Caenorhabditis elegans: one gene and its partner. The protein of the gene in region 1 purifies or fractionates together with the protein of each later gene. This does not show direct contact. Each region holds a gene or a part of one and is shown in the gene's direction. Other genes may lie near its edges.

Region 1 (7,820 bases):
CGAAAATTGAGGTTCATGCCAAAATTTCTAAGCTCCAACGAGAAGAATACATATTAAAAACAGATACAGTAGCTTCAATTTTTTAATATTTTGGGTTAGTCACTGCAACAAGAACAGTATCTCATAAAATCCATGATTTTTCTATAATTGCTCTTATACTATTCTTCTTTGTTATTTTTTATTGTTTCTAAAAGCCATTATCTATAATTAAAGTTGTCTACCATTGTATGCCAATCAAAGTTCCCATGTATTACATTTTGCCACCTTTCCCGTGTCATTTCCACCGCATAAATAACCTTGCACCCCTTCTTTTCCATCTTCTTCTCCTGCTTCCGTTCCTTTGTATTTATTAAAACCAGTTTTGTCTCGACGGAAACCTCCCAGATTATGATGACGTCACGACACGGATTTTGACGTTACAAAAACGGAAAAGAATAGATATTGAAGTTGAACCGAGATTTGCAAATCTGCAGATATCTCCGATATCTGTTGAAAGTCGCTTTTTGATACTCTGGTCGGATAAATTGTTAAAGTTTTAATAGATTACAGAAACTGCCAAAAAGATATATACCATGTAATCAAAAATCAGAATTCGTAAAGACCTTGAAAGCCATTCGACGTTCCTTCTCCTAATTTGATTATCAGAGGTAGAAGAGTCTCCAGACATCGTAAATCACATCAATCGACTTTTGAAATAGCACCTAGGTTTGTCAATTTTTCATTGTGATGGTCGAGGTCGATTCCTTGAAGTTTGCGTGGTTAGGTAGCTTTAATTACAGGTATTATATTCAAGAAATTACTTAGAAATTAGAAGTATTCGTGTAAAAGCTAAACCTATTAGTAACAGTTTGGTGAATTCATTCCATTGTTAGATTTACTGTGAATGTAATCAGGAAAATGAAAACTTCAGTCAAATATTACCTTACCCTTCATTTGGAAATTCAACGAAAAATGATTAACGAAAATACCCAACTGACGAAAGTGTTAAAATACTAACTACATAGCATTCAGTAAAACAACTTAGAATGCATATTAACACCCAATTTGTCGCTTACATTTTTCGATGAAGTCAACGTCCAGAAGAAGAAGAATTTTTGCAGTAAAATTTATTTATTTATTTTAATTGATTTAAGAGAAGTTAATATATTTTACATTGGTTTGGAAACTGAAAAAGATCACAATAATTGGATTATGAGAGCTCCGAAGTGTTTTTCTATTTCTGTAGATTTTGTAACAAAGTTTGAAAGGTGCGATAATCACGACATAAATTACAGTTAAATTGAACAAAGGAACACAATTTTATCATGATCAGTACTTTGTAATCAACTAGTATAACATTACACTTTTGCAGCTTCTTCCTGTTTCCGGTTCCAACCAAAATAATAACATGGCTAAAAAGAAAGATTCCGTTCCATCCTGGTGAATTTCCGATGGTTCCAGGTTCCAACCGATTCTATAGAATTCATTTCTCAGTATCTCATATCTAAATCTTCTATAACAGCTTCCGAAAAAGTAACAATTCCTTGGGATTTCAAACGGATCGGTCAAGGACAAATTGTCGAGGAGGAGAGTAATAGAGGGAAGTTTTGGGAATCAAGATGAGAAGGAAATCATGCGGTGGAAATAAATTTGTTTTTGTGTTACCGGGCAAAAAATACACATAAATAAGAAGATATCATTGAGATAATCGTTATAATAAATCCCATCACAATATCATGGCTATGTGTCGTCGGAAATTTTTTTCTTGAAAATTAAGATGTTTGTTTGGTGTAGTCTGAAAGTAGAAAATGCGTTAATTTGAGAGAAAACATGTTTCCGTAAATTCAATTGTTTTGTTGTTTTCTGTAAAATCTCTCAAAGTTCAAAGCTTATTATCGTGGTTTTTCTTGGTCTAAACTCGGAACTGTCAACTGACAGTGAGCTACATACTTAAAACTGAAGTGAAAATAGGCTTTATGAAAAGTGACATTTTAAAAATTAAATCAGAACTGCTAATTATTTATAAATTTGCAAATTTGTAAAACTTGTTTAGGTACAATAACCAAAGGAGTAAATTTAACTATTTGATCATTGAAGGCATCTAACTTTATTTTATAATTTTAGAAACAACATCTAGGGATTCAAAAATTTGAAAACATCAGTAACAATTATTAAAAAAGTAGTTTCAAATTTAAACTATGAACAAGACATAAGTCAATCAAACCAGTAAACAAAACGAAATCGCATTACTTAACTGCACACCGCTGTGATTTTCTCCGATTTTTTCGTTATTTCCAGTAAGTAACTTCCTTAATCGCATTCGATACTTCCTTCATTTTTTTATTTCTACCAAAACCATCCGGCAGACAAAAAACATGATGCCCTCCTTCAACCACCGGCTGTTCTTCTGGGTGGTACCGCCCATCGTTAATGGCTGTTGGCATGGCAGAAATTGACCTTCCGTCGATGAGTATAAAAGAGAATGTCAGATGTTCAGAAGGCACAACACATCTGACGATGTTTGAAGAAAAGCTCCTAGTTGGAATAGCCTCATTGGCATCTACTGTTGCCGTTATCGTCTGTCTTGTGGTTATTCCATCACTCTATAGCACTATCAATGAAGTCCATGAAGAAGTATGATTTAGTTAAATTTAATGACAAAAAATCATTATTTTCTCATTTAAAATTAAACCTTACTCATGTTTCCATTCAGGTTTTGGATGGTGTGAAGATTTTCCGCGCAGAAACGGATGCTGCCTGGGTTGAGATGCTCGATGTTCAAGTAATGGTATCTCCACCATCAAAGCCTAAGGAAAATCCATTTAACTCTGTCTTCCGTCAAAAGCGTCAAACATTTTCGGGATTACCATCTTGGTGTCAATGTGAGCCGGCGAAGCCACGTTGTCCACGGGGACCACCAGGACCTCCAGGTCGTCCAGGACAACGTGGAACTTCTGGATCACCAGGACCCCGTGGACAGGACAATCATCAGGTGCATGCTCCAATTCAATGTCCACGACAACAACCAGGATGTGTTAAATGCCCACGAGGACCAGCAGGCCCAACAGGTTCAATTGGACAAGCAGGAAGACCAGGTCCAGATGGACGTCCAGGACAACCTGGAAGAAAAGGAAATAATGGTAGACCAGGTCAACCGGCACCACAAGGAAATGCTGGACATCCTGGAAGAGACGGAGAACCCGGGCAACCAGGAAATCCAGGAAAAGACGGAAGAAAGGGACGTGGGCATCCAGGAACAGCTGGAAGACCAGGACAACCAGGAAAGCAAGGAAGTGCAGGAAATCCAGGAAGAAAAGGAGAAAGAGGACAAGATGGTCAACCAGGACCAGGAGGAAGACCAGGGCAACCAGGAAACAGAGGATCCGATGGACATCCAGGTACTCCAGGAGGTAGAGGCCTTCCAGGACCAGATGCTGCATATTGTGCATGCCCACCAAGATCGTCAGTGTTTGTCAAAGCAAGGCATTAGAAGTTGGATTTTAAGGTTTTTATTTTCTTTTTTCACTCCACAACAACAAAAATAAACTTTTATGCACCGTTTTTGAATATTTTTCCATCGAACAAGACCTATGAATATTCATCATGTTAAGAAAATTAGAGACTCGGCAGACAATTCTCGAATTACAATTGAGAAGAGTAACTAAGTTTCAATATGCCTTGAAGTGATGTAACCTCTTGAAAATGTGTACTAGTTCACCAATGAAACGGTTATTTTCAAGTACCACATCAGTTTCACAGTACCACGTCGAAAAGTTTCAACGTCTCTATCTGAAAGTTTTGAAAATTGTTTCCTACTATCGAAAAAACCAACTAAACATTTGGCAAAAACAGGTTGAATAGTTCTACTCTCACACTCTTATTCCGCAATTGGATGTTCTTCTCCGAGAAAGAGAAAGCGGTCATTGTGTCATCGTAAAGGGCAAAAAAAGCGTTCCCTTTTTTTCATATCATCTCATTTTCTTTATTTCACCTTTTCTTATCAATTTCTCCTATCAAAATGGTCAAGGCGCGGTTGGCGCGAGGAGTTACCAATTAGGTCAGAAACGGAAAGAAAAACGTTTACGTTTACGGGTGCAAAACTAAATTGCAGGAGCGAGAAAGAGAGAAGAAAGAGAACAGAAACTTTAGATGATAAAAGTAAAAAAGATGGGGATACAGATGCCCCGCCCATTTTGCGCCTGGTGCGGCGACCTTCTCCGGAAAAGTATTTAAGTGAAGGATGAAGGGTTTGAAAATTCATCATCCACATCGACTTCCCTTTCAAGGAGAAGACGTTCGGACTGAGCTAAAATGTTTGAGGAGAAGCTTCTGGTTGGTATTGCCTCTTTGGCATCTACTATTGCCATTTTGACATGTGTTGTTGTCATTCCAGGACTCTACTCTACTATTAATGAGATGCATGACGAGGTTTGCATTTTAATATTGTTTTCTAATTTACATTTTCGAAATAATATTTTTCCTCAAAAGATGGATCAGAAAATATTAACTAAATGTTATTTATACTTCTGTGAAATATAATAATTTATTTTCAGGTTCTTGATGGTGTGAAGATGTTCCGCGCCGACACTGATGCTGCCTGGGTTGAGATGCTCGATGTTCAAGTCATGGTCTCCCCACCATCTCAGCCAAAGGAAAATCCATTCAACTCCGTCTTCCGCCAAAAACGTCGTTCAACTTTCTCAGGTCTCCCAGCTTGGTGCCAATGTGAGCCAACAAAGCCAAAATGTCCACGAGGACCACCAGGACCACCAGGGCATCCAGGACAGAGAGGAATTCCAGGAATTCCAGGACGCAATGGACAAGATAATTATAACACAATTCGTGCTCCCGCCTGTCCACCGCGTAATCAAGACTGTATTAAATGCCCGGCCGGACCACCAGGACCATCCGGTACATGCGGACAGGTTGGAAGACCGGGTCCAGACGGACGTCCAGGACAACCAGGAAGACGAGGAAATGATGGAAGACCAGGACAACCAGGACCACAAGGAAATGCTGGACAACCAGGAAGAGATGGAAATCCAGGACAACCAGGACATCCAGGAAAGGATGGGCGTCGCGGACACGGATCTCCAGGAGCACCAGGAAGAGCTGGACAACCAGGACGTCAAGGAGCACCTGGAAACCCAGGAAGACCAGGAGAGAGAGGACCAAGTGGACCATGTGGACCAGCTGGAAGATCAGGTCAACCAGGAAACCGAGGATCCGATGGTCATCCAGGAGCTCCAGGAAATCCAGGTCTTCAAGGATCTGATGCTGCCTATTGCGCTTGTCCAACTCGTTCAGTCATGTTTCTCAAGCGACACTAGATATTATTAACTTCTTCAATCAATTTTCTGCAATAATAAGAAATTCAGACAATGCTCTGATCATAATAAGAACAAAAATAAAATGTTTTATTTTCCCTGAATTTGTTCATTTACACTTAACACCCTTCAGTTTTTGATACCCGTCATGAATCATTTGCGGACCTTTCATATTATGAACTGCGTAGATCAAAGGAACTCCTCCTTTTGAGCATTTGAGTCGAGATGGAATGAGCTCAATAACATAACGAAGAAGATGATTAGCCCAGTTGATTTGTTTAATTTTTAAAGCTTTGCCAATAACTCCAGTCCAGAAGACATCCTGAAACAAATCAATTTAAAACTAATAATAAAATTAAGAATTCAAACGGCTTTTAGTATCATAAAATCGCAGAAAATACCTCAATGATCCATTGATTATAGTTCTTAGCTTCCTCCAACATTCGTGGAACTGCATTTTTTCCGATTAAATAAATTGGGCCATCAATATATGGAGGGAAAAACTTCTCAGAATAAAGAGTTTTTGGTACATACCTGTAATATTGAAATTTCTATTGTTATGTTTTATTTCCTACCATCTATGTTTTTTTTCTCTCACTGGTGGTGAATTTTTCCAAATAATTCCACTAATTCCGTTAATACTTGCTTGTTTCTTATCTTCAAGACTTCTGTATAATCCATCCATATCGACTGCCATATCATCATCAATTTTCAATTGAAAGTCCGCCAGTTGACAGTGACTCTGTTTATAGCTTAATATGGCATGAACTTTTAATATCAAAAGTTCATAAGATTCATATAAATCCGTTACAATCATATCGTCAAATTTTTCAATTTCTTTTTGAAGAGCAAAATTTAAAAATTCATTGCTTGTTTTTGAAATAATAAATGAAATTCTAACATCATTGTTCTGAAAAAAATATTTTAAAATTATAGAAAATAGAGACAACATACAGCGACATGTTCCGAATTATTTGGATTAGCCCATGTCTCTCGAATTGCTTGCCGAATATCAAAGTTTCCGGCAGTTGAAAGAATTGTGATTTGAAGTTTTGTGTTACTGCAACAATTTTAAGATATCATAAAAACTTATATTTTTAATTTTCTTTTCTTACTTAGAGCACTGTTTCTTTGGCACTGTGATGAACTGATAAGTATGATTTTGGTCTTTAAACTGAGCATGGTAAAACTGATTAGTTGACCCATCTTTAGATAAATGAGATTTTGAAGAAAAAGAGTTTGTCACTTCAAATATAGGAGCATCTGTTGAATAAGAGCGAATTCGATCGAGATTCAGAAAGACTGTAACGTCTGAAAAAATGAAAATCAACCAACTTGATGAAAGTGTTAAATATTTGACTTGGTGTGGTAGTTAGATAAAGTTTATATGCAAATAATATTTTTATTGGAGTGTTTCTTTTAATGGTCTTGCCAAAAAAAATCAACAGTCTGTACACTCCAGAGTACAATAGTCTGAAAATTTCAATAACATACATACATCACAATGTTTTTATCATTAAATGTCTCAAAATCTAATAAATAGTAAATAAACAGTACAAAATGATAGTAGAACATTACTCGTGAATGCTTATCGTCAAAATTCCAAGTTTCAAAAAACAGACAAAAACTCAAATATTGGTTTTGAATGTTTTAATAATATTTAAAATGTTCTGAAAATAACTTCCACAACTTACATAAAATAATTAGACCGAGTAGATATTTCCAGAGTTTTCGACAAAGATTCATGCATGAATCTGAAATAAATACCTTTTGTTTTACAAAAAAAACTGTAAGAACACAATTTTGGAAATCTTGAAATAGTTCTCATGCTTTATTGGTCAATGTATCATACATCACCTATTGAAAACCAAGAAAAGAATGAGAAGCTCTAAGAAAAAGGACGTTGTCGTGGGATACACACGGGGGAATTGTGCGCAAAGAAAAAGCAGACTTCTTCGCACCTGAAGACGTGTGTCAGAGATTTAGCAAAGAAGAGACGGAAAGAGAAAACGAATGTGTTTGTTTGGATACCAAAATTTGCAAATAAACTTAATATCCGGAAAAAGTGTAACTATGTATTCAGTAGAAAGGCTATATGAACTTCTATGTAGAAGAATTATTCGGCATTTATTCATGTGGTTTAAAAAAGTATATCTGAAAACGGAGCCATATAAGTTAACTTAATTTAGAATTTTTGAAATAGTCAAGTTTTTACAGCTCTTCTAGGAACTAAATTACAATTGGAGAAAAAGTGGTTTAATGAAAAAAGTTTAAAAACTATGTGTTTTACATGCGATTTATGAAATAGTTATGTGCGGATTACTTTAATCTCCCTCACAAATTATCTCACAGTTTTTGATCGTGAATTTTGAAAACTCATGAATTTAACAAAAAGTACATTAAAAAATGCACCTAATTTCGCCATTGGTTTTTGAAATTTCTATTGGTCGTTAAATTTCAAAGAAACCTTTCTTGTCATGTGATGTTTGAATGAAAATCTGGAATAAAAATTGA
Region 2 (11,417 bases), on another chromosome or scaffold:
CCAAAATTCCACATTTTAGGGTCAAATTTTGCCGATTTTTCAGTACCTTATACCCTTTGGCATCAGCTGCGGCCCGTAAAATCTGCCGAATTTGCCAAGTTGGCGGTTTCCAGAGTTTTGCCAGTTTTTGGCGTTTTGTTAGTTTAAATTGTACAGTTTTGACGCGTTTTTCGCCGCGTTTTTTCGTATCTTTTTTCAGTAGAATGCCTTTTTTCGGTGGTGGCGACGGTGGTGAGATCTGAAAAAAATTCAAAATTTCAGTAAATTTTACGTTAAAATGGTTTTCTGGCATTTTTCTGACAAAATTTGGGATTTTTCAATAGAAATTCCCAATTTTAAGTCATTTTTTGGGGTTTTTGCAGTGAAATTTAAATGTTTATGGGTGAAAAATACCCGATTTTTGTGAATTTTTTGATTGAAATTTCCAACTTTCCGTCATTTTCTGGATTTTACGCTAAAAAATTGGCGATTTTTGCCAATTTTCCGATCAAAAATTCGAATTTTTCAGCAAATTTTACCCAAAAACCACTAATTTTTCGTGTAAATTCCAAGTTTTTTAGGCGAAAAATTGAATTTTTTATTGAAATTTTCACTCCATTTCGGGTTTTTTTCGCCGAAATTTACATTTTTTTGGCATTTTTCTGACAAAATTTCGATTTTTCGATAAAAATTCTTAATTTTAAGCCATTTTTAGGGGTTTTCCACAGTGAAATTTCCATGTTTATAGGTCAAAAATACCCGATTTTCATTAATTTTTCGCCAACTTTCCCGATTTTTGTGTCAAAAATCGGCGTTTTTCCCAAATTTTCACTCGAAAAATCGAATTTTCCGTACCATTTTATTAATATTTAGTTTATATACATCAGGTTTCACATCCTCCTCAATTTTGTGCTCAAAATCATCGCAAATTTCCTCTTTTTTCACTAAATTCTCCTCTGAAAAATCCGTCGGCTCTTCCTTTGTGATGACGTCATCGGGCGGCTCCGAGGCTTCTGATGAGCTCTCCGAATCGGAATTTTCAGTGGAATTTCTTCCTCTCCGGCGCCGCCAAATTTCACGGCGAATCGAGTTTCGGTAGATTTTTATCTGGAAAAATTGAATTTTTAAAAAGAAAAATTTGAGGAAATTTTAGAGTTTCAACGGAAAAAACCGAGAAAATTTGAATTTTTCGGCGAAAAATGTGAGAATTTTCGATTTTTAACTGGAAAAACAGATTAAAATTTGTCTTTTTCAGTGGAAAATCTGAAATTTTGGCTTTTTTCAACGAAAAATTTGAAAATTTTAGGATTTTAACCGAAAAAATGTGGAAATTTGAATTTTTCCGGCCAAAAATCTGAAAATTTTAAATTTTTACCTGGAAAAAACAGAGAAATTTTGGATTTTTCCGGCCAAAAACCTGAAAATTTCAATTTTTCCAGCGAAAAAATTCGAAAATTTTCGATTTTTAACTGAAAAAAAAAACAGAGAAAAACTGAAATTTTCCAGTGGAAAATCTGAAATTTTGGATTTTTTCAACGAAAAATTTGAAAATTTTAGGTTTTTAACCGAAAAAATGTGGAAATTTGAATTTTTCCGGCCAAAAATCTGAAATTTTGAAATTTTTAACTGGAAAAAACAGAGAAATTTTGGATTTTTCCGGCCAAAAACCTGAAAATTTCAATTTTTCCAGCGAAAAATTCGAAAATTTTGGATTTTTTATTGTAAAAACCGAGAAAAATTGAATTTTTTCAGGAAAAAATCTGAAAATTTCAAATTTTTAACTGAAAAAATTCGAAAAATTTGGATTTTTTATTGTAAAAACCGAGAAAAATTGAATTTTTCCACCGAAAAATCCGAAAATTTCAGATTTTTAACTGGAAAAATGACCATTTTTACGAGAAAAAGTGGTTTTTTTTTGCCAAAAATTTGCAATTTTCCGCACCAAATTCCGGCGTTTTTGCCATTTTTTAAAGTGATTTCGGTCTTCAATCTCCAATTTCTTATCATTTTGATCTCTTTCTTCCTCTTCAAGCCGTCGACGTTCAAGCTCAATCTCTTGCTCTTCATATTCCCCGGCATTCGTTGGATAATTGATTTTTGGCTGAAAATTTCGTGAGTTTTTAGGTGAAAATTGGGAAATTTGGTAATTTTTAGGACGAAAAAGTGGGATTTTTTCGAATTTTTAGGTTAAAAATTGCAAAATTTGTAGATTTTCTACTAGAAAATGTGAAAATTTGGCAATTTTCAGGTAGAAAAATGTGACTTTTTTGGTTTTTTCAACAAAAAAAATCGTAAAATTTCGCATTTTCCAGTAAAAAATCATGAAAATTCTGATTTTTCTGGGGGAAAATGTGAAAATTTTGCAATTATCAGGTGGAAAATCTTGAAATTTAGCGAGTTTCCAGTGAAAAATCGCGAATTTTAAGATTTTTCAGTGAAAAATTGTGAAAAGTCCAAATTTTTAGGTGAAAAATCGTGAAATTTGGCTATTTTCACAGAGAAAAATGCAATATTTTCAAATTTTTAGGTAGAAAAATGTGACTTTTTTGGTTTTTTCAACAAAAAAATCGCAAAATTTCGCGTTTTTTCAGTGAAAAATTGTGAAAATTCTGATTTTTCAGGTGAAAAATCTTGAAATTTTCCAATTTTCACAGCGAAAAATGCAATATTTTCATATTTTCAGGTAGAAAAATGTGACTTTTTTGGTTTTTTCAACAAAAAAACGTAAAATTTTGCATTTTTTCAGTGAAAAATCTTGAAAAGTCCAAATTTTTAGGTGAAAAATCAAGGAAATTCGGATTTTTCTGGGGGGGGGGGGGGGGGGGGGGGGGGGGGGGGAAATAGTGAAATTTGGCAATTTTCAGGTAGAAAAATGTGACTTTTTTTGGTTTTTGGAACCAAAAATCTCAAAATTTTGAGATTTTCAGGTGAAAAATGGTAAAATTTTTTTCAATTTCTAAAGGTTAAAAAGTGAATATTTTGAGATTTTTTGGGGTAAAAATTGTGAAAATTCCGAATTTTTAGGTGAAAAATCCTCCAAATTTCCACACACAAAACCGCGCACCGGTTTGGGCTTATAAAACGGTAAACTCGACACAAATTCCACAATTTCCTTCTTTTCATCACGCATTTTTCGAAATTTGTGATCCACATTTTGGCGGTCATAACGGACGGTTTGTTGCTCATTGAATTCGGATTCCTGCAATAAAAAAATCGATTTTTTCGGCTGAAAATTGCCAAAAATCGTTAAAATTGGCAAGTTTTTTGGCTAAAAAACGTCAAAAATCGAATTTTCGACCATTTTTTTCAACATTTTCAGCACAATTTCACTGAAAAATCGATTTTTTCGGCTGAAAATTGTCAAAATTTAGATTTTTTCCCACTTACCAATACTAATAAATACTCCATTCCCTGAATTTCACATCCTTTTTTCTCCACAACTATCCAATTTCGATTTTTATGCTTAACAATGTCCAAAACTTCCATTTTCAGCGATTTATCCTCGATGACGTCATCAGAATTGGCTCTTTGAGCTTCAATTTGCTCCCATTCGGCGTCTTCTTGTTGCTCCTGGAGTCGTTTTTCTGAAAAATTCGAATTCTCCGTGATTTTTTACACCGAAAACCCATTTTTCACAGCTCAGAAGCCAAAAATGAGGAATCTGTGCATTTTTGCGTCGTGTTGCTCGGTGTTTGCGTACTTCTGAGGCTACAGTACCCCCGGAAATTCAAATTTTGAGCTAGAAGCCCATAAAAATGACGTTCCAGGGTAAAAAATGATGGGAATTTCAAATTTGATGATTAAAAATTTTGAAAAAGTGCCTGAAACCCAAAATTTCAAATTTGCGCCGCAAATGTTAACTTTCACAGGTTTTTTAGTACGAAATTCGAATTTTACGCAAATTTTTACTCCCGGAGCACTATTTTCAGAGCTCCGCCATGAAATTTACGGAAATTGTGCATTTTGTCGTAAGCCCCTCGGTGTTTGCGTCTTCCGAGGCTACAGTACCCCCGGAAATTCAAATTTCGAGCTAGAAGCCTGGGAGAAAGAGTTCCTAAGCTAAAATTTCACGGAGAACTCGATTTTGAGCTCGAAAAATGGCATTAAAGTCAAGAAACTTGAAAAAAGTCAACTTTGGAATTTTCTGCGGGGGGGAATTGAGGCATTTTCTTGTGAATTTTCTGAATTTTAAGCTCAAAATTCAAGTTCAAAAGTGTTTTTTACCCCTATCTAGGCAGTTTTCGCAAACTTCTGCATTTTGTCGTAAGTTCTGCGGTGTTTGCGTACTTCTGGGGCTACCGTAACCCGGAAATTTCAAATTTCGAGCTAGAAGCCTGGGAAGACGAGTTTGAAAGGTAAAAAATCACGAAAAATTCGAATTTGGTACTGAAAAAGTTTAAAAATCAGTTAAAAATTTGAATTTCCGAGCCAATTTTTCGCGCATTTTCCTCCTAAAATCGTACGTTTTTCCTGGAAAATCCTCAAATTTTCCGCTTTTTCCTGTCTCCGAATCCACGAGATCAGATTCTGCGGATCCACGAGGCATTCCCGTCTTCGAATCAATTTTCGATCGATAAATCGAACTCTCGGGCGAATTTTCAGCCGCAATTTTCGGTTTTTCGAGGTTTTCGGGCGGCGAAATTCGATTTTTCGTTGGTTTTTCGTTTTTGGACGGCGGAGATATCGATTTTTCGTCGTCGTTTTCCGCTTGAAACACACTAAAACAGCGATTTTTCGCCAATTTTTTGCGGTTTTTTCGCGTTTTTTCACTGGAAATTGCTCGATTTTGATGGGAAATTCTTGTAAATCCAGAGAATTTCTTTTTTCTCGCGAAATTCTCCAATTTCCAGGCATTTCATCCAGTTTTTTGGCTCCTTTTCGTTCAATCGTCCAAATAGCCTTGCGAATTTCGGATTTTCTGTACAAATTGTGCATTTTGAGCCATTCCGCCCGTCTTTTATCCATTAAAACCAGCGATTTCATCGATTTATGCGAAATTCGCCATCCAGTTTGATATGAAGCGTATTTCGGAAGGCAGAGGTTGTCTGGAAGTGGAAATTTCGTTAATTTTGAGGCAAAAATTCGAGGATTTTTTCGGTAAAAACTCGAAAAACCAACCAGAAATCCAGTCTCTGTGCTCACAATTCGTGTTATGAAGCCGAAAAGGCGTCTTAATCGGCGGATTTACTCGTGGTGGCGGGAAAAATATGCGGAATTCCTCATCCCTCCGCTTTTTCGCCGTTTTCTTCGATTTTTGCAACTTTTTCTGCGTTTTTGGCAGCTTTTTCGCGGTTTTTTCACACGTTTTAGTGGATTCGGTGTCACTCTGCAAGGTATTTGAGTGAAAACTGGCTGTAAATTGGTAAAAACTCACGGTATGCGCCGAATCTGACCCTTGTTGCAGCTTTTTTGGCTTCATTTTCTGAAATATTGATTTTTAATCAAAAAATTTGAAAAAAATCACAAATTTTCCATGTTTTTCCATGAAAAACCATAAAAAAACAGAAAAACAGAAAAACAAAAATTATTAAATTTTAAATTGTCACAACGACACTCCGAAATAACGGTCTAAACAAGGCGCGCGCCTAGTTAACACCGTTATTTCGGAGTGTCGTTGTGACAACAAAAAATTTTTATTTTTCATTTAATTTTTGTTTTTCGCCCAATTTTACCGGATTTTTATCAAATTTTTCAATTTTTTCGCTAAATTCATCGATTTTTGAATCAAAAAATCACTATATTCAGGTAAAATGCGTCCGGAAACCGTAAAAACCATGCGAATACGAAGTTCAGTGACCCGAAATGATTCTGGATCGGTTTCACCGCCGGCTCCCAGTACTTCAAGGTTATTTAAAAAATAGAAATCTCATGTTAATTGTGAAATTTCAGTGATGAAATGGCAATTTTTCGCCAAGTTATGCGAAAAACCTTTGCAAATCTGCCTCCACTGGAGTTGGAGCTGAAAGTGAGCATTTTTTTTGGGAATTTTTGATTTAAAAATTGAAAAATTTCAGATTGAGCAGCTTTGGAATGGTCTGACGCCGGCGCAGCGGGAGAAAATGATGAAAAATGGGGAAAAGGAGAATGTTTCGGTAAATTTTTTTATTAAAAATTTTTTTTTTAAATTTTTTAGCCCTAAAAAAATTGAAAATTGAAAATTTCAGCAAAAACAAGCAGCAGTGTCGATGGAAACTCGTAAAAGTAAATTTTCAACGAGAAAAATCGCTGAAAAACTGGAAATTTTCAGATTGTAACGCTATAGCAAAGGTTTTGGACATTAAACCGTCGACAACACCGACAAATTCATATGCAGAAAGATTGAAAATTCGAATTAAAGCATATCATAATGAGGGATTCATTTTGGCGTCCCGGGAAGGGTACGGAGCACCGAAAACGCGGAAAAATGGCTGAAAATTCATAATTTTCTGCAAAAACTGCCCTAAAAATGCAGAAATTTGCTCAAATTTTAGGTTTTTCTTACTAAAAAGTTCAATTGTTTTTCCAAAATTTTTCTAAAAATGTAATTTCCTAACAGTTTCTCAGTGACTTCTGTGTTCTACTCTTATTGATAGTTGAAAAACTGTATTTTTTGCATTTTCAACCTTAAATTAGCCAATTTAAGATTGAAAATGCAAAAAATACCGTATTTCTGCCAACAATTTGACAAAAGAGCACATTTGTCACTCGGAGATGCGGAAGCTATGCCCAAATTTTCATTTTTCCGGAAAACTTGTGATTTTTCACTAATTTTCGAGATTTAATGTCCAAATTTTCATTTTGAACCGATTTTTGAAACTTTGCAGTGCGAAATTCGAATTTTCCGTGGTTTTTTACCCTAAAACCTCTTTTTGCCGGGCTTCTAGCTTGGAATTTGAATTTTCCGGGTTACGGTAGCCCCAGAAGTACGCAAACACCGCGGATCTCACGACAAAATGCAGAATTTCGCGAAAAATGTCTAAATTGGTGTAAAAAAGCTTCTAAATCCGAATTTTGAGCTTAAAAAGCGCAAGAATGTCTCAATTCTCGCAGAAAAAATTAAAAAATGACATTTTTTCAAAATTTGAGGATTTAAAAAAAAAAATGTACGGAAATTCAAATTTTTCAGCAAAAACCGATAAAAGCCGGGCTTTTCTCCAGGAAATTCAAATTTCCATCCGAATTTTTCAATTTTAACCGACTTTTGAAACTTTTCAGTGCGAAATTCGAGTTTTCCATAGTTTTTTTCCATTAAAACTCGTTTTCCTAAGCTTCTAACTCGAAATTTGAACTTTTCGGGTTACGGCAGCCTCAGAAGTACGCAAACACTACAGATCTTACGAAAAATGGCTGGATAGGGGTAAAAAATTATTTTGAATCTGAATTTTGAGCTTAAAATCAGTAAAAAATGCCTCAATCCCCGCAGATATTTCAAAAATTTAATTTTTTTTAACTTTTTCTCAGTGACTTGTGTGTTTCTACTCGTATTGATGGCATAAAAACGGGTATTTATTCACATTTTCAGCCTTAAATTTGCCTGAAAATGTGAATAATTACCGTATTGCTGCAAACAATTTGACAATAGAGCACATTTGTCACTCGGAGATGCGGAAGCTATGCCCAAATTTTGCAATTTTTCCCGGAAAACTTGCCATTTCTATCGATTTTTCTCGAATTTTCAGTTAAAAATTGAGTTTTTCACTCATTTTTACCCATAGAAATTGCTTTTTTTGCACAAAATAGATTGATGGTCTAACTTTTGACATTTCTAGGTCACCAATCTGAAAATGATCGTTTCTAGCCATTTTGTAGCGATTTTTTTGGATTTTTACTTGAAAATTGCAAAATTTTCAATTTAAATCCGTAAAATCTACTAGAAATCGATATATTTCCCCTGTGACTTGTGTGTTTCTACTCGTATTGTTGGCATAAAAACGGGTACTTATTCACATTTTCTGCCTTAAATTGGCTGAAAATGTGAATAAATACCGTATTTCTGCCAACAATTTGACAATAGAGCACATTTGTCACTCGGAGATGCGGAAGCTATGCCCAAATTTTCAATTTTCAGTCAAAAACTTGCCCAAATTTTTTTTAACCCGATTTTTGAAAATTTTCATTATGAACTTCGATTTTTTCATGGTTTTTTACCCTAAAACCTCTTTTCGCCGGGCTTCTAGCTCGAAATTTGAACTTTTCGGGTTACGGTAGCTCCAGAAGTACGCAAACACCGCGGATCTTACGGAAAAATGCAGAATTTCGCGAAAAATGCCTAAAAAACGCTTCTAAATCCGAATTTTGAGCTTAAAAAGCGCAAAAAATGATGATTTTTCACTCTAAAACTGCAAAATTTTCACAAAAAATTGAAAAAAAAGGATTTTTCAGCCCTCCAACACTTCCATCACGACTTCCACCCACCGCAGCAGAGCCAAAAATCTCACTTCCGACATCAAAACCACCGCCAATTCCCATAAAAATCGAGGAAATGGTTCAAAAAACCGTCCAACACCTTCGAAAACCCCAAAAACACGCCAGAATCGTCGTAAAACCGATAAAATGTGCCCAAAAACCACAAAATTCGGCGGAAAAAGGACGAAATCCCGTTAAAAAATCAATTGAACCGGTTGAACCAATGGTTTTGGAGCCAATTGCTCCACCACCACCACAGTCTCCTGTAATAAGTTACAGTGAAGCGTGTAAAATGTACTATCAGACACTGTCACAAATGACGCTTTTGGCTGATTTTGGTAGGTTTTTAGGCGAAAAAAGCGAGAAAAATTGCATTTTTGACCCTAAAAAAACGAAAAATTGAATAAAAATCGAATTTTTGAGCTGAAAATTCCATATTTTCAGCTCTAAAAGCACCTGAAATAGAATAATTTTCTGATTTTCGACCTAAAAAAATTTTTTTTGAGCTTAAAAATCAGGTTTTATCAGTTCAAAAACCTGAAAAATTCGATTTTTTAGTCTAAAAACTTGATTTTTAGCGAAAAATTTGAATTTCTGAGCAAAAAATGCGGGAAATTTCATTTTTGAGCTTAAAAATCGACTTTTCGAGCAATTTTCACCAGAAAAAGCTGGAAAGACTGGATTTTTGCCTAAAAATGCCTAAAATTTGCGAATTTTCCCATAAAATCTTCAAGTTTTTTTCAAAAAATTCGAATTTTCAGCCAATTTTTATTCCGGAAATCGATTTTTAGAACAAAAAATGGCCTAAAAATGAAATTTCCCCATAGAAAATTCAAATTTTTCACTTGAAAATCGATTTTTAGTCAATTTTAAAGTATAAATATCGATTTTTATCACAAAAAAATCATAAAAATTGGCTGAAAATCAACAAATTTCCCCAATTTTCAGAAGATCTATCGATGCTGACAGAATACGCGAATATTGTGGAAGGAATTCGGCCAATACGAGAATTTAATTACGGATTTGAATTATAGAAATTATCAGAAAATGTACAGAACCCCTGAAAAAATCGAATTTTTGACTTAAAAATTTGAATTTGAACTGAAAAATTTGATTTTTGACTGAAAAATTCGCCTTTTACATGAGAATTTCAATTTTTGACCAAAAAATTTCAAAAAATCGAATTTTAACTGAAAAATCGATTTTTACATGAAAAAATCGATTTTTGATCAAAAAATTGAATTTTAACCGAAAAAATCTATTTTTGACTTAAAAATTCGATTTTTTACTCAAAAAATCGAATTTTAACTGAAAAATCGATTTTAGACCCAAAATTTCAATTTTTGACTGAAAAAATCGAGTTTTCACTATAAAAAATTCGAATTTTTGACCCAAAAATTCGATTTTTGACTTAAAAATTTGAATTTTAACTGAAAATTCGATTTTTACATGAGAATTGCAATTTTTAACTGAAAAATTCGATTTTTGAATTAAAGATTCAATTTTTGACTTAAAAATTCATCGTAGGACCCCCAAAATAATCTATTTTCTTTTTGTTATCACACCGCTTCCACCACCTGAAAAAGTTAAAAAAAAACCGCTGAAAATTGTTGAAAAATGAGAATTTTCAGCCCATTTTTGGCGGGAAAAGCTGAAAATTTGAATTTTTGCAATGTTTTTAACCTGAAAATCCGATTTTTCCGGCTGAAAAAGCTGAAATTTGAACGTGTTTTCCGTGAATTCCACACATTTTTCGATGAAAAATTCACTAAACACTCAAAAATTCAGCTGAAAAATCTCGAATTTCCCACTTTCTCGCTGAAAATTCCATTTTCAACCAGTTTTTCAGCCTGAAAAAGCTTAAAATCGTCAGTTTTCACTCGAAAAACTGAAATTTTTCGATTTTTTCGGCTGAAAAATCGCAAAATTCTCATTTTTCACACAATTTCAGCCGGTTTTCAGCCTGTTATTTTAGACATTTTTATAGAGAATTTTCACCCAAAAACCCTCGATTTTTTCATTGTTTTCTAGCCACCGCTGTTATAAATTCGGACACACCGCCCGGAAATTTCACACCCTGTTTTACTTGTTATCACCGCCCCCGTTTTCCCATAGATTTATCGATTTTCTTGTTACTTTTCTGTTTTTTTTTGTTCGTCTGTTTCTCGCTATTACTGCTGCTTTCCTGCTTGGAAAAATTCCAATAAATTTGAATTTTTATTCAAATTTGAGGTTTTTTTTTTGTTGCTGAAAATCGATTTTCCGGCTAGTTTTCGGCAAGTTTCGAGCTCAAAATCGAGTTCTCCGTGAAATTCTAGCCTAGAATCTCTTTTCCCCAGGCTTCTAGCTCAAAATTTGAGTTTCTCCGGGTACTGTAGCGTCAAAAGTACGCAAACACCGAGAACTCCACGCAAAGATGCACAACTTCCTCAATTTTTGTGGCTAGGCTCTGACAAATTGAGTTTTGGGGTAAAAAATTACGGGGAACTCGAATTTCACACTGAAAATTTTGGAAAATTAATAATTGCGCCCGAAATTCAAGTTTTTCAGATTAAAACTTTGTTAATACGGGAATTTCAAGCTCAAAATCGAGTTCTCCGTGAAATTCTAGCCTAGAATCTCTTTTCCCCACGCTTCTAGCTCGAATTTTGAATTTCCCGGGGTACGGTAGCGCCAAAAGTACGCAAACACCGAGGCTCCCACGACAAAATGCACAGATTCCTTAATTTACGTGGTAAAGCTCTGAAAAATGGAGTTTTGGGGTAAAAAATGACGGGGAACTCGAATTTCACACTGAAAATTTTGGAAAATTAATAATTGCGCCCGAAATTCAAGTTTTTCAGAATAAAATTTTTTGTTATTAAGGGAATTTTAGCTGAAAATGCGAATTCTCCGTAAAATTTCAGCTCAGAAACTCTTTTTCCCCGCTTTCTAGCTCAAAATTTGAGTTTCTCCGGGTACTGTAGCGTCAAAAGTACGCAAACACCGAGAACTCCACGCAAAAATGCACAACTTTCTCAATTTTCGTGGTAAAGCTCTGAAAAATGGACTTT

The links.
Region 2: the proteins of col-149 (region 1) and B0524.6 fractionate together in Caenorhabditis elegans (co-fractionation; one large-scale study listed by BioGRID). This does not show direct contact.

What each region holds. Positions count from the first base shown.
Region 1 is NC_003283.11:10,289,283-10,297,102, reverse strand, and holds col-149 (Nematode cuticle collagen N-terminal domain-containing protein), read left to right. Parts: upstream 1-4,233; 5' UTR 4,234-4,290; coding exon 4,291-4,407; intron 4,408-4,532; coding exon 4,533-5,309; 3' UTR 5,310-5,402; downstream 5,403-7,820. Other genes in the region: col-150 (Nematode cuticle collagen N-terminal domain-containing protein), read left to right, coding at 2,497-2,613, 2,693-3,469; B0024.15 (Hexosyltransferase), read right to left, coding at 5,416-5,628, 5,708-5,840, 5,882-6,216, 6,261-6,366, 6,422-6,617, 7,001-7,052.
Region 2 is NC_003281.10:1,899,948-1,911,364, reverse strand, and holds B0524.6 (HMG box domain-containing protein), read left to right. Parts: upstream 1-5,724; 5' UTR 5,725-5,729; coding exon 5,730-5,824; intron 5,825-5,868; coding exon 5,869-5,944; intron 5,945-5,993; coding exon 5,994-6,071; intron 6,072-6,143; coding exon 6,144-6,180; intron 6,181-6,226; coding exon 6,227-6,356; intron 6,357-6,854; exon of another isoform or gene 6,855-6,909; intron 6,910-8,340; coding exon 8,341-8,702; intron 8,703-9,312; coding exon 9,313-9,398; 3' UTR 9,399-10,591; downstream 10,592-11,417. Other genes in the region: Polyglutamine-repeat protein pqn-41, read right to left, coding at 47-238, 835-1,086, 1,922-2,080, 3,044-3,178, 3,367-3,563, 4,443-5,024, 5,098-5,305, 5,354-5,398.